Drosophila melanogaster: one gene and its partner. The protein of the gene in region 1 interacts with the protein of each later gene in a pairwise test. Each region holds a gene or a part of one and is shown on either strand. Other genes may lie near its edges.

Region 1 (5,700 bases):
CTTGAAGAATAAGAGGCGAAGTTATGCATGCTAAATCAAGCGAAATCTTTCTTTAAATTTGTTTGTTAATACCAAAATGCAGACATACTAAAGTGCTGAAATCTAAATGCCTATCATGGTTTTTCAATCCTATCATTTGACTTGCCATTTGTAAATCACGGAATTGTATATTGAAGCCTTGCATATGTTTTGCACAGTGCTGCAATGTCTGGTTGACTTCATTGAGGTTGAGGGGCAGGTGATGTTGATGCCACGTCTCGGTTAACTCGTTGTTCCGTTGACCTGCCCCTGTTGAAATTGCCTGTACGGATAGTTTGTGGTCTAGTCTTGTAATTAAGTCGAAGTTTCCCGTTTTAATGCATACTACTTTTAACCGTGCTGCTGGCCTGGCTAAATGACAAATCGTTGCGGGCGAGAAACTTTAGGTGCTGCGTGTGCAGGGGATTCATAAAAAAAAGATGACCAAATCCTTTGATTTGTGTGCGTGCCAATGCCAAATTGCTTAATCTCCCTTCGCACGAACACTTGACCCAATTTTTAATCACTTTCCAAGCACACATGCTCTCTTTTTGTCCGTCCCGGCATAAATTTGTGTCTTAAAACTTTCCACCTGGCCAAGGCAAAAGTTTGGCTTGCACGTTTTAAGCTGCCCCTGCAGAGTAACCGTCCGAAACAAGCTTAAAAATTGTGAATAAACCCAAACTGGCATAAACCGCACTTATTCCCAACTCCAAATTCGAGATGGAATATTAAGGCGAATTATTTGCTCTTAATTTGAAACGAAAAAATGATTTTCAAGATTTTTTTAAGCTTTTTTTTAGATCAAACTAAAACAAATAATGATTAAAAGTATCTAGAAAAGTTTTTCTTATTTAACTTATAATAATTATAATTCTTATAACACTGTTAAAATCTTTCATTCTTCTAATTAGTTTATTAAAGTGTAATTATTTTTTTTGCAGACGACCATCTCTAGTAGCATTTCGGATTTCCGCAATATGTGCTACAAAATATTCTAAACACACATTTGTCCAGCTCGAAAGGGAAACAAGGAGGCCAGGCCAATTGTGTGTGAGCTCTGTTCTCGGACTTTTTTGCTGTGTGGGGTGGGGGCGCAAAAGTTTCTAACAATAATAAGCAAATGCCCAAAAGTGAGCAGTGGGATCCAGTTGTTTTTGTCTCCACTGCTACAATTGCCAGCACTAAAAGTCCCCTTCAAAATGTATATACACGTATCCCTCTACCGTTGTATTTGCTGCAAATACAATTAAATATGGCAAAAGTTGTGCGTACACACACGTCGGCCATTTTATTTAGATTGCAGGAGGGCTAAAACAGAGGCGGTAACAGGAACAGAAGCAACGACAACGACAACATTGAGGTCGTCGTCGTGGGGCCCTCAAAAGTATTTGGCTAACTGAAAGAAAATATTTAAAAAACAAGAAATACTGTGTAATATGCGATATTGCCACGAAAATGGGTAATTTATTTACAGGATATTCAAAATGTAAGGTCTAGTTAATGCCGAAATTTCATAGCTTGAAGTGTGTGTGTTAAATATTTATTTGTCTTCGATTTACCTTAAATAGTGTATTAAAAGCTTAAGGGTAAGTATTTAGAATATGCTTAGGTATAATTTGTGAGCTTATAAGGAAATTGCCAAGCACTTCATTCAAAGGAAATTAGTTACGAGTAGGCCCAGACAAATCCTTCAAAACGGTTTATGTTGAGAAATTTCTTTGCTCAAAGTCTGTGTGTTAAATATTTATCTTCGCATGCTACGAATTTGTCTTAAATAGTGCATTAAAAGCTTTATGGTGAGTATTTAGAATACGCTTAGTTGTACTGTATTGAAAAGTACAAAAATCGGATTCGTTTTGCAGTGCACGTGTGCGTTGCTTTTTCTGCTAACAAGGCCAACACGTGTTTTTGTGTTGTGAGGCTCGGTCCGCAGAAAGCACAGCAATTCTGTTAACAATTTTATTATTAAAATGATGTCAGTGCCTCGGTTCGCTTGCCGCCCTCTTCCTGTGGCTCGGCAATTGACCACAAATGCATTAGTGGTGCGGATGCCCCAACTTTCACCTACATACTTCCCAAGGCGAATTACACAAAAATTTGCAGAGCTCCATGCCATGCATAGATAAATAGGAGAATGTGTGGACGCCAATCTCTGTGGTAATCCCCAGATGACCTACAAGTTGTCGGACACTGTTGTATTTTCGGTATTTTTGTACGGCTTATTTTCGGTGGGCTAATTGATTTAAACAATTTATCATACTTTTATCCTTTTTTTTTGCTGCATTACTTAATTTTTTAATAACATGATGTTTAATGTAGCTCGCTAAAGGCGATAGATTTTACAAGAGAAATAAATTAATTAAATAGAATAGACTGAATGCAAGTGACACTTTTTTCTTCAAAGAGCTACATCACTTGTTATTTACCCCCTACACTCATCGAAGCTTGCTATATTTCCATTTTTATGCGATTTGCACCCTTGTCTGGATTTGCTCAGCTTTAGGCTATCGAAAACGCAAGTGGATAACTCCCTCCGCTCCTTTTAGCCCCGCCAAACAACCTGATTATATAGCCAACCGTTCACAGCTCCTGAGCAGTTATTACGTTTTACTTATTGCATTTTTCAGCTCTTTGCATTTTCGCTCAAGCTTGCAAAACGATACACGAGCGGGAATGGAAATGGAATAGAAATAGGATGGGATGGGATGGGTCGGGTTGGGTTGGTAACGAGGATTCAAGGAGCCCCAGCATGTGGCTCACATGACATCTGGCCAAGGGGGTGATCACTGCTGTTGCCGAGAGGGGGTAGGTGGGGGGTCCACCAAGGACGAACTCCTGCGGAGCTAAGCTCACTGCACTTGGCCATTGTTTGTTTGTTTTTACAACTCTGATTGAGGTGAAATTGCATATTTCTGTGCGCTTCTTTCATTTCATTTTATTTCTCCGTCTGCAGCTCCTCCTCACTATTTCTGTAATATTTTCAAACGTTTTATTGAATGTCGCTTACCGACAGCACTGTTTGCCATTCCTGGCTTTTCCTTTTGCCAGGTACCCATTTTTAGATTCATCTCCACATTTCCTCGTTCCATGCACCTATTTTACCAGTGTTTTCCCCGCCTGCATTGGCTTTGTGTTTATTGTGCGAATAAATGTCAACAATGGAGAAATGTACGTGGATTGCCGACCGATTTAGAATCTCCACCTTCTCGATCGGAATTCTTTTGGCGAGTTTATAAAGATTGCCAAGCACTTTAATCCAAAAAATAAATATCAAATAATCACATATCATTCAATTTGTAATAGGGTGAAACGTCTGAGAACTCAGAATCCAGTGGGCCTAGACAAATTGTTCCAAACACTTTATGTCGAGAAGGTCTAATCGTACTCATAAATATACAGGTACTGGTCTGAAACATTTATTACAAAAAATTCAAAAAACAAAAATATAGCGAAGAAGGATAAAGACCATGTACAACAATATTAAGGGCCTACACATAAATGAATACCAGAGGGAGAATGGAGATAATACCAGAAAGCTGGCGTGTGAAGGTACAGTGAAGCTAAACGCCAATGCCCAAGAATTTGTGCCACGTTACAAGAGGGAACAACCAGCAAAAGATGATGCTATAGTTGGTAACAGTAACATGAGCAACACCAATAACGACGACCAAAAACCAAAATCTAACCTTATGTTGCCGTGGAAAGGATTTCCGAATAAATCTCAAAAACGTAAAGTTCTGCAAATAGAGGTCGCAAGAACATTGCTTATATATTTTATCTCCTGTTTCAGCTTCTCGCAATGTGGACTACATAGTTCTACCGAGCACCAAAAGATTTAAAAAGCCCATTGGCCAACAACTCGTGGAAAATGTTTCCACTACGCCCTCAAAAGTCCATTTAAATGATCCTGTTCCAGCTGGAAATCGCATTGATCACGAGGAAAGGCGCCGCGAACACGATAGAAAAATCGCTGTGGAAGCCTTAAAGTTGGCCGAACAGCGTAGAATGAGGGATCCTGTCATTGCCCCCACGGAGGGCAATGAAAACTCAAAGAACGTGCCGCCAATTATAAATATCTCACGATCTCCAATAAAGTTCACGCCAAATGAAAGGATCAGAGTGGACCGTTTAAGGGCAGCGAAGAGAGAGCGTATCGAGCGTATCCTTCGCGAAATGACAAACAGCAAGCAGTCGCAAGTGAAGAAAGAGCAGCTCAAGGAGGAGAAGATTTGTTTTGATAATGCACCCAATGAATCTAATAAGCCTAATGAACCTGCTAAACCTATGCCTCAGCATCCGGAGAAGACAAATGAAGTGCCCATAGTTACCAAAAAGAGGTACATACCAACCACCAAGGAATGGGACGAGCGATGTCGTGCCAAACATTTGGCTAAGATGGAAGCTGAAAAGAAAAATCAGATGGGTGTTCAGGATGCGAACCCTTCGCAATCTGCTGTGCCACCAAAACCATTGGTGACCTCCAATGTGGTGAACATATCTCCGTCGGGAGTTATTCGTCTGTGCGATCGCTTTAGTCCACCTGCTAAACAATGCGATACGGAGAAGCGCAGGGGAAATCTCACACACTTCCGACCCCTTCAAAACTGGACAATCCGTCGAAATCCGCCGGTACCATTGAACAACCTGTGCAATAAAAATGGAAAGATCGTGCAGCGCTATAGCATCGACCAACTGCTGGTTTTGGAGCCTCAACCTGAAGAACTGAAAGTGCCTCAATTGGATAAGGCCCTGTTAGGCTTGGGATTTCTGTACGATTCATTTGAGGGCTCTCCATAAATGTATTCGAATTTAATCTGAACTTATTGATTAAAAAACATTTTATCATTTTCCAATCACTTCCCTTGAATGTCTGAAATAAAGAAAAGACTGCAATGCGTATTTCAAGTTTGCAAAGCTAACTTTTGGTAAAATCTGTAAGATTTCTACTTTTATTACTGATGGCTATTACTGCACAAACGCGTTGGCATTTTTCAGCCTTTTGCACTTTGACCGTCGTAATTGAGAACTGAAATTTGCCATGTTATTGGTGTTGCTGTCAACTGCAACGGTCAGGTGCAATAATTTTAATGCCATTATTCTGCTTATTATTATCTTGCCTACTGTGCGCAGCTCGCTGCCTGTGCGCATATATTAAATTTCACTGAAAATTTGTTTTAATTTCATTAAACGGGAGAGGGAGCAATTTACACATCAGTAAAGAGTCCGCCGGTGCACTGAAATAAATTTTCCAGGACGAATCCCCTGCGGGCTCATGTAACCGAGGCCGAAGCGCAAAAATATTGACATGTGGCTATGGCAACGATTGCTGCTGGGTTTTCGCGGGGGGGGGGGGAGGTCGTAGGTCATGGGAATGGCCGCGAAATGGGGTGATGCGTAAAGGAGGGCGAGGGGGTCCAGTGGCAGTATCATATAACGCACAGACATTGCCCTTGTCATTTTTGCAGTTGTTGTGGCTCGGCCAGCACTGCGCAAATAAAGCGGAAAATTGTGTTTTTTTTCCCGACTTGTTTTCTGCGTGTTCGAAATAAAAAAACAATGAGTAAAACACAAAAAGTAGAACCAATCAAATGCATTTCACTGGTCGTGCGTGCGTCTGTGCATGTGTTAAAATGACCTTTGGCTTTTATTGTCGCCCGCTTTTTGCTGCACTTAACTTCC
Region 2 (6,467 bases), on another chromosome or scaffold:
GAGTTTTAGTTGCTGTCTGCATTTCGTTTTTGGTTTCCGGTCCTGTCGCCTGTTTTTGGACGCATTTCCTGGTCGATGTGTTGCTCTACCTATTAAACTTGGGTATACGTAGAAATAGTGAATTTCTACTTGTAATTTTTTCAGCTTAGGTTGAATGTGTCCCTTAGCTCAATAATTAGCAAACTTCTTTAGTGTTTTTGTTTATCTGAACACAGAACACAGTTTGGGGCTTTAGTGTTTTTCCAGTACGACTTTACAAGTTTCCATCGATAAGGTCACAGCTCCAAGTCGACGGATAAAGAAAACATTTCGCCACCAGTTTTGAACAGATGTCGAGGCCGCGGTGACTCTGGCTTTTGACGGTATGTTCCGAATCATTCAAAATTCGATATGTCGGCTAGCTACACACGCCTGTTCCGCGTTTTGTTCGTGATAATTTTCATCAAGTTACTCCTCCTTTTGGGACTCCTTTTGGACAGCTACGATGGTGCTGCCCGGCTTCAGAGGCGGTCGAATGTGGATATATTTGATGAACTACTCGTAGATCGGAGGCAAAGTAAGAAAAACTTCCAATTAGGAAAAGCTTTCGCTGGGGTCAGAGTGTATTAAAAGTGTGTCAATATCAGAATGTACATTTAAGGAGCCCACCTACCATTTTAGTGCCTTCTTGGGAGCAGCGATTGGAATGGATCCGCGAGGAAATGCATTCGTTTCCGCTGAAAGAGCTCCTGGCCAGAAAAAACAGACGATTGCCTTCAGTGAAGTGCGGCCCCGATATGATGAACATTGATTTTCATTGATAGCCCTCTGCCAGGCTATTGATGGCAATAGTCCCATCCACAGATCCCAAGTTCGTGGTATGTGTGAAGGCGAGGGATTTTCCAAAAACTGAGGCTTATTATATGCACCGCAAGTGCAAGTGCGTGTAACGCTGTATGCATGTATTTATGGCTTTTAAGCTGTGCCAAAGTTATTTAAATTACTGATATCTGGCTTCTTTGTGGGTTTATCATGTGATTATTTGGGCAAGCAATAAAAGAAAATGCTGTATTTTGGCACAATATTCTTCATGATTCCGTCTATGAGTTGCCTACAACAGCTGTTAAGTTTCCACGGTTGTCTGTTAAGTTGCCTGTCCCTCTGTTGCTCGATCGAGCAGGTCCTGGGAAATCCTTGTCGTTTGCTTCAGTCGGCCACGAACTGTTGGTCGGGTTGGAGGTGGACTCACCGACGCCACAACCGCCCTCTGATTGCCTTTTTGATGCATTGGGATGTTTGTATTTGATGTGTTGCTTTTTTGCGTAATGCAACTGCTAACGACTCTTTAAATATTTTACACGATTTAGCATTTCATAATGATAATACCCGCAATCCGCTTGCGGGGGGCATGCGTTTATGGTTCAATTTCAGTTTATGCATTCTCATAATGCTTGATGATTTCAGAATGCCGTGTTTGCATTTCAACTCCAAATGACTTTTTCAGAGCGATTCATTCGCTGGCAAAATGCAAAAATGCACATAGAATTTAATTTAATTTGCGCACACTCATGCACCATTTATCCACTTCTAATTAATTGCATTGCACAAGAACACAAAACGCAAAACATTTGAATGCGAATGTCTGAACGGACATGAACAAATATACAAATGTGAACAAAAACACGCTCAGAGCTAACTGAACTGAACTGAACAGGGCAAAAAGCGACACAAGATGAAAATATTCATTATTATTTGGCCAAATTGCGAATTAATGATATGAGCAAACAGGCAGGCCATAGTGTTGTTGGCATGCAAATTATGGCAGCGCGCAAAAACAAAAGCAATGCAATTTTTTAATTAAATGCTTTAGCTGTAATCCAGGAGCGCTTAGTGGAGTTCGGATTAGGCCATATACTCGCGAATCCGATCCCAGTGATGGGAAAAAATGCAGAATAGTACCGAAGTGGGACCGGACTTTTGTTACCAAAAGTCATTTTTCAGAGCAAAGTAAGTCTAGAAATATAAATCAGTTTTGGACGACACTTCGTTGTGAGAACAACCGGGTTTTAGTCAAATTTTATTTACAAAACCATTGCGATTTATTTGTTGATATATTTTGATTGACCTAAGCGGTATTCGGATATTCGCAGTGCGTTAGGTAAGTTGTGTAGACCCAATTCGTAGTGATTAATTATGGCATTAGAACTGTTCGTTGGGTTTCTCCTCCTTCGTCATCTTCGTTTACAAATAAGGTAGTGTGTTCCTTGTCGTATGTAGTATGTCTTGTCTGTCGGTCAGCTTAGATTTCATTGGCTGCCGCCGATTACTGGGAATCCCCGAAAGTATGCAAAAAGTTGGGCTAGAGCAATTGAGCGGATTGACGGTAGTGGGGATGGAGCTACCCCTGCTTAACCCCATCACCCGTCTAGTGCAACCGGCATACAAGAATACGAGGAACAAAGTTCAAACTAGCCAAACAAAACAAAACAGAACAGAGCTGAACTAAACTAAACAAAACAAAACAAAACAGAGCTAAACAAAACACACACAACGCAACAGGGAGCTGCTCATGTTTTTTGTTAATTAAAATTGGCATAGCAGCCGAGGGGAAAGGCAAGGACTGGGAACAACATTTTTGCATTTTCATCAGTTTTTCGAGGCAGCTAGCAGTCAGCAGCCGGCATTTGAACATTTCAACATTTCGGCATTTCAGCCAGCGACGATGGCTCACAGGTCATAGGTCACAGAAGGCGAGCACAGATGCCAATGTAGAGTAGTCCACCTTCCTTCAACTTCCTTCCCACTTCCAACGTTCAACTGAATGAGTGCCACTTCCTCGCTGTGTGCATATTTACCTTTAGAACATTTACTTTTTCAACAGACGACAACCGACCCGTTGAGGGCGAGTCCTCGATTTATGTGCTGCCAATAAATTTGCCCAACACTTTGGCCCCGTCTAATGCAATATTTACATCGCATCGGGCCAAATAAAAAATTGCATCGATAGGAACTGAGAAGGGCGAAACTGCTTTGCGGGAACTGAGAGAAATCCAAGGTGCCTTCTATTGTGGCTTTCGACTACTCCCATAAGTAAATTATTCATTGAAATGAATCTAGATCGCCAAAGTACAGTGACATAAAGATTCAAAAGCAGTTCATTACATGCTATAATCTAAACTACTGTCGCGATAAAATTTAGTTGATCTCTGTAATACTTTCGCTAAGTGCACCCGCACGTCTTGTAGTTTCTGTTTCTGTTTTGGCCCTGCTTTTCATTTTGATGTCATTTAAGTTAAAAGAGGAACATTTGGAAATGTCGGGTATGAGATCCCTAAACGGCTTTTAAGAAGGAAAACCTCCTGCAATGTGTTGCCTTTGTTGTTTCCCTAATTTGTATGGCAGAAGTGAAAGGAGATTCCCATATCTGTACAGTTCTTAGCCCATGCCAAGTGATACAAATGTACATATGAAGTCCATGGTTAAGGCACAGATATTCCATTAAAACAAAATCGGGTCAAATAAAATGGCCATAAACTGCTTGCCAAAAGCGTGAAAGCACAACACTCGCTCAAAGTCCAAGTCCGCTCAAACATTTGCCACGCCTTGGATTCTGTTTCTGATTCCAATTTCTGATTGATTTTTTCTCACTCATAAATTCGAGTCCTTTTGACCCCATTTTAACTTATGGCAGCCAGAGTCAAATCAAAGTTTGTTCTCCTGGTGGTTTACTTTTGTGATGCCATTACATAAAGATTCCTTCGTCCGCTGCATATCGTAAATGTAGAGAATTTTTAATGATTTTAAAAGATGCGTAAATACCAAGGCATCGTAATCTTTTCTATCGGAGATTTTGGCGTGTGAAAAACGCTTTTACTCGGTTATTTCCAAGGGGCAAGCACAACTTGACCCAGCTAATAAGAAATGCGTGCTGTGTTACCTTACACCCGTGTGTTTGGGGTTTTGCACCCACTCAAATCATTCAGTTCGGGGGGTGTGTAAATATTTGTTGCTAAAGTTGCCAACTTCTGCACACGTCCCTTGGTCTTGGTCAGTTTTTCCTTTCGTGCTTCCAAAGAAGAAATTTCCAGCTCACGTCTTAGAGAAAAGGGGCATGTTGGCTTGTTTGCCTCATTAGTCGGAAGTTCAGAAAGAGCGTTTGGCTTGGCTTTGTGGATTCATCATATATATAATTGTATAGGAAGCTACGAAAATGAAAGATCCCAAAAATCGCCATTATATTAACCCTTTTTTTTGTTAGATTTGTTTGTTTAAACATAGCGCTAACCTCGCCATTTCCGTATAACTCTACAGCCGTTGCTGACCTCGAACAAAGCCGCCATGCTTCCCAACAGCTTTTACAGGATGAGGGACTTTGCCAATCCGAGAACAATGTTTAAAAGCTGTGCGAACAACAATGAATATCCCACACAAGGTCCCCAAAAAGTGGAGTCACCAACTGATGTTACCCAGCCTGCTGCAGCTCCTCAATCCACTGAAGATACTCAACCAGAAAAGACCCAAGAACCGATGAATGATCCAAACAAAACGTCGCCATCAGAGCCCCAAAAACGTGGCAAGGGGAACCGGAAGGGCAAGAAGAATCAAAAGAATGCGCCACGCACTCCCAGTCAGACGAGCAAGAGCAGTCGAAGCAACAATCCGGGCAAAGATGGAAAGTCGACGGGAAATGATGACAATGAGAAGGGTAAAGGCCAAGGAAAACAGATGGTCCAGCAGAAAGAAAATAGCCCTGAACAGGAGCAGTCGACTAGTGCACAATATAGGAAGAATGTGCTCGACAAGGATCTGCAGGACAAGAAGCTAATCGAAAAGAATATGCAGGGAAAGATAATCACACAAGAAAATCTTTTAGGGCAGAAGGTCCTAATGCGGTTATCCGAGCAGAAGCTTTTGAGCTTGAGGCTCGAGCCCAGGATTAAACAGAACACATGTCCACCGGCCAAAAAAGAAGATGCGGTGGTCGCTTTTGACAATTCACTAGAATTTCTGTCACTGAACAATAAATGTGATGATGATCTGACCATCGCGGCGGAGAACGCCGAACTTTTGGAGGTCGAGGATCCTCAACATCCACTCAACAACTGCTGGACTCTGTGGTATCTAGAGAACGATCGAAATAAAAGTTGGGAAGAAATGCTGCACAAGGTTACAAGCTTCGATACCGTGGAGAAGTTTTGGAGCCTGATCACTCACATCAAGCCCCCATCCGAGCTTATGCTGGGCAGTGACTACTCCCTGTTCAAGAAGGGCATTCGACCCATGTGGGAGGATGAGGCCAATGTCAATGGAGGACGCTGGGTCATCAACTTGACCAAGAGCGCCAAGATGGCTCTGGACAGTTTCTGGATGGACGCCATGCTCTGTCTGATTGGAGAGGCCTGTAAGCACTCGGACGATCTTTGTGGCGTTGTGGTCAATATTCGCGGAAAGTCGAACAAGATCTCTATTTGGAACGCTGACGGGGGAAATCAGACTACAGTCCTTGAAATTGGACGCATTTTACGCAAGGTTCTACGCATGGACAACATATACGTGCTGGAGTATCAGTTGCACAAGGACTCCAAGGATAAACTGGGATCAACTGTGAAGAGAATATACACTGTATAGGTTCTCATCAGACAATTGCGAATCGAAACATTTTCAGTATTTTCGGTATTTTTTCACAAGAACTTGAAATGTCAAGCAGGTGTGATCAGCCATCGATCGATAGTTAGTTGGGTTCCAAATCTCTAGTCAAACCATCCGTACACGTACACGTTGTACATAAAAATTTGAATGTTGCTCCTATAGAGCGACGAAATAAATACATAACTATTTGGTCAAGAAGTTGTTTGTTTTAAAGTGTGAAATTGGAGAGTGTTGGAGAGAGACTGCGAAATGTTTCTAACTATGCACCTTCTTTACTAATTTAACCCGATTCCAAGAACATGCAACATGGTTTGTCTCGATTCCTGAGTTCCAATCGGTGTATTGGATGTTCTTTGTCTGCTCCACTGCTAACCATTGGGGCGGGCATTCAGAAGTTGGTTGCTAGCTTTTTGTTCGCTTTCACATCGGTCAGCGGACATGGGACATTTGGACATTGGACATTGGCCGTTGGACTTATTTGGCGCACGGCGTCACACAACTTGGCCGTGCTCAATTGTTTGATTTATTGGCATTTATTGGCAGTTGGCATTTTATTGTGACTGCTTTGGGTGACCACGTAAGGGGAGCCAATGATGTTGGAGTGGAGGCAGGTGCGTTCTCCTGGCACTGAATTCCTTTTGTTGCTGTTCTTGGCCACTTTTCCATTTGACGGGCTTTAATGTGCTTAATGTATTTTCTGTGCCTTGCTGTGACCATTTTCCTACCTTCTAATTTCTTCCTGAGCTTTTTTTAGCCACTCTTGCGAGGATTTACTATTTACCAAATATTCTGGTGACTCCACGAAAAAGGTCAAGGCCCAGGTGATTTGGCCCAAGTGC

What was found.
Region 2: the proteins of CG6304 (region 1) and eIF4E7 interact in a two-hybrid assay, tested with the Drosophila melanogaster proteins (one large-scale study listed by BioGRID).

The regions. Positions count from the first base shown.
Region 1 is NT_033779.5:17,010,724-17,016,423, reverse strand, and holds CG6304 (uncharacterized protein), read left to right. Parts: upstream 1-1,723; 5' UTR 1,724-1,817; intron 1,818-3,289; exon of another isoform or gene 3,290-3,324; 5' UTR 3,325-3,488; coding exon 3,489-3,750; intron 3,751-3,811; coding exon 3,812-4,818; 3' UTR 4,819-4,948; downstream 4,949-5,700.
Region 2 is NC_004354.4:1,157,956-1,164,422, reverse strand, and holds eIF4E7 (eukaryotic translation initiation factor 4E7), read left to right. Parts: upstream 1-2,033; 5' UTR 2,034-2,137; intron 2,138-4,290; 5' UTR 4,291-4,317; coding exon 4,318-5,607; 3' UTR 5,608-5,824; downstream 5,825-6,467.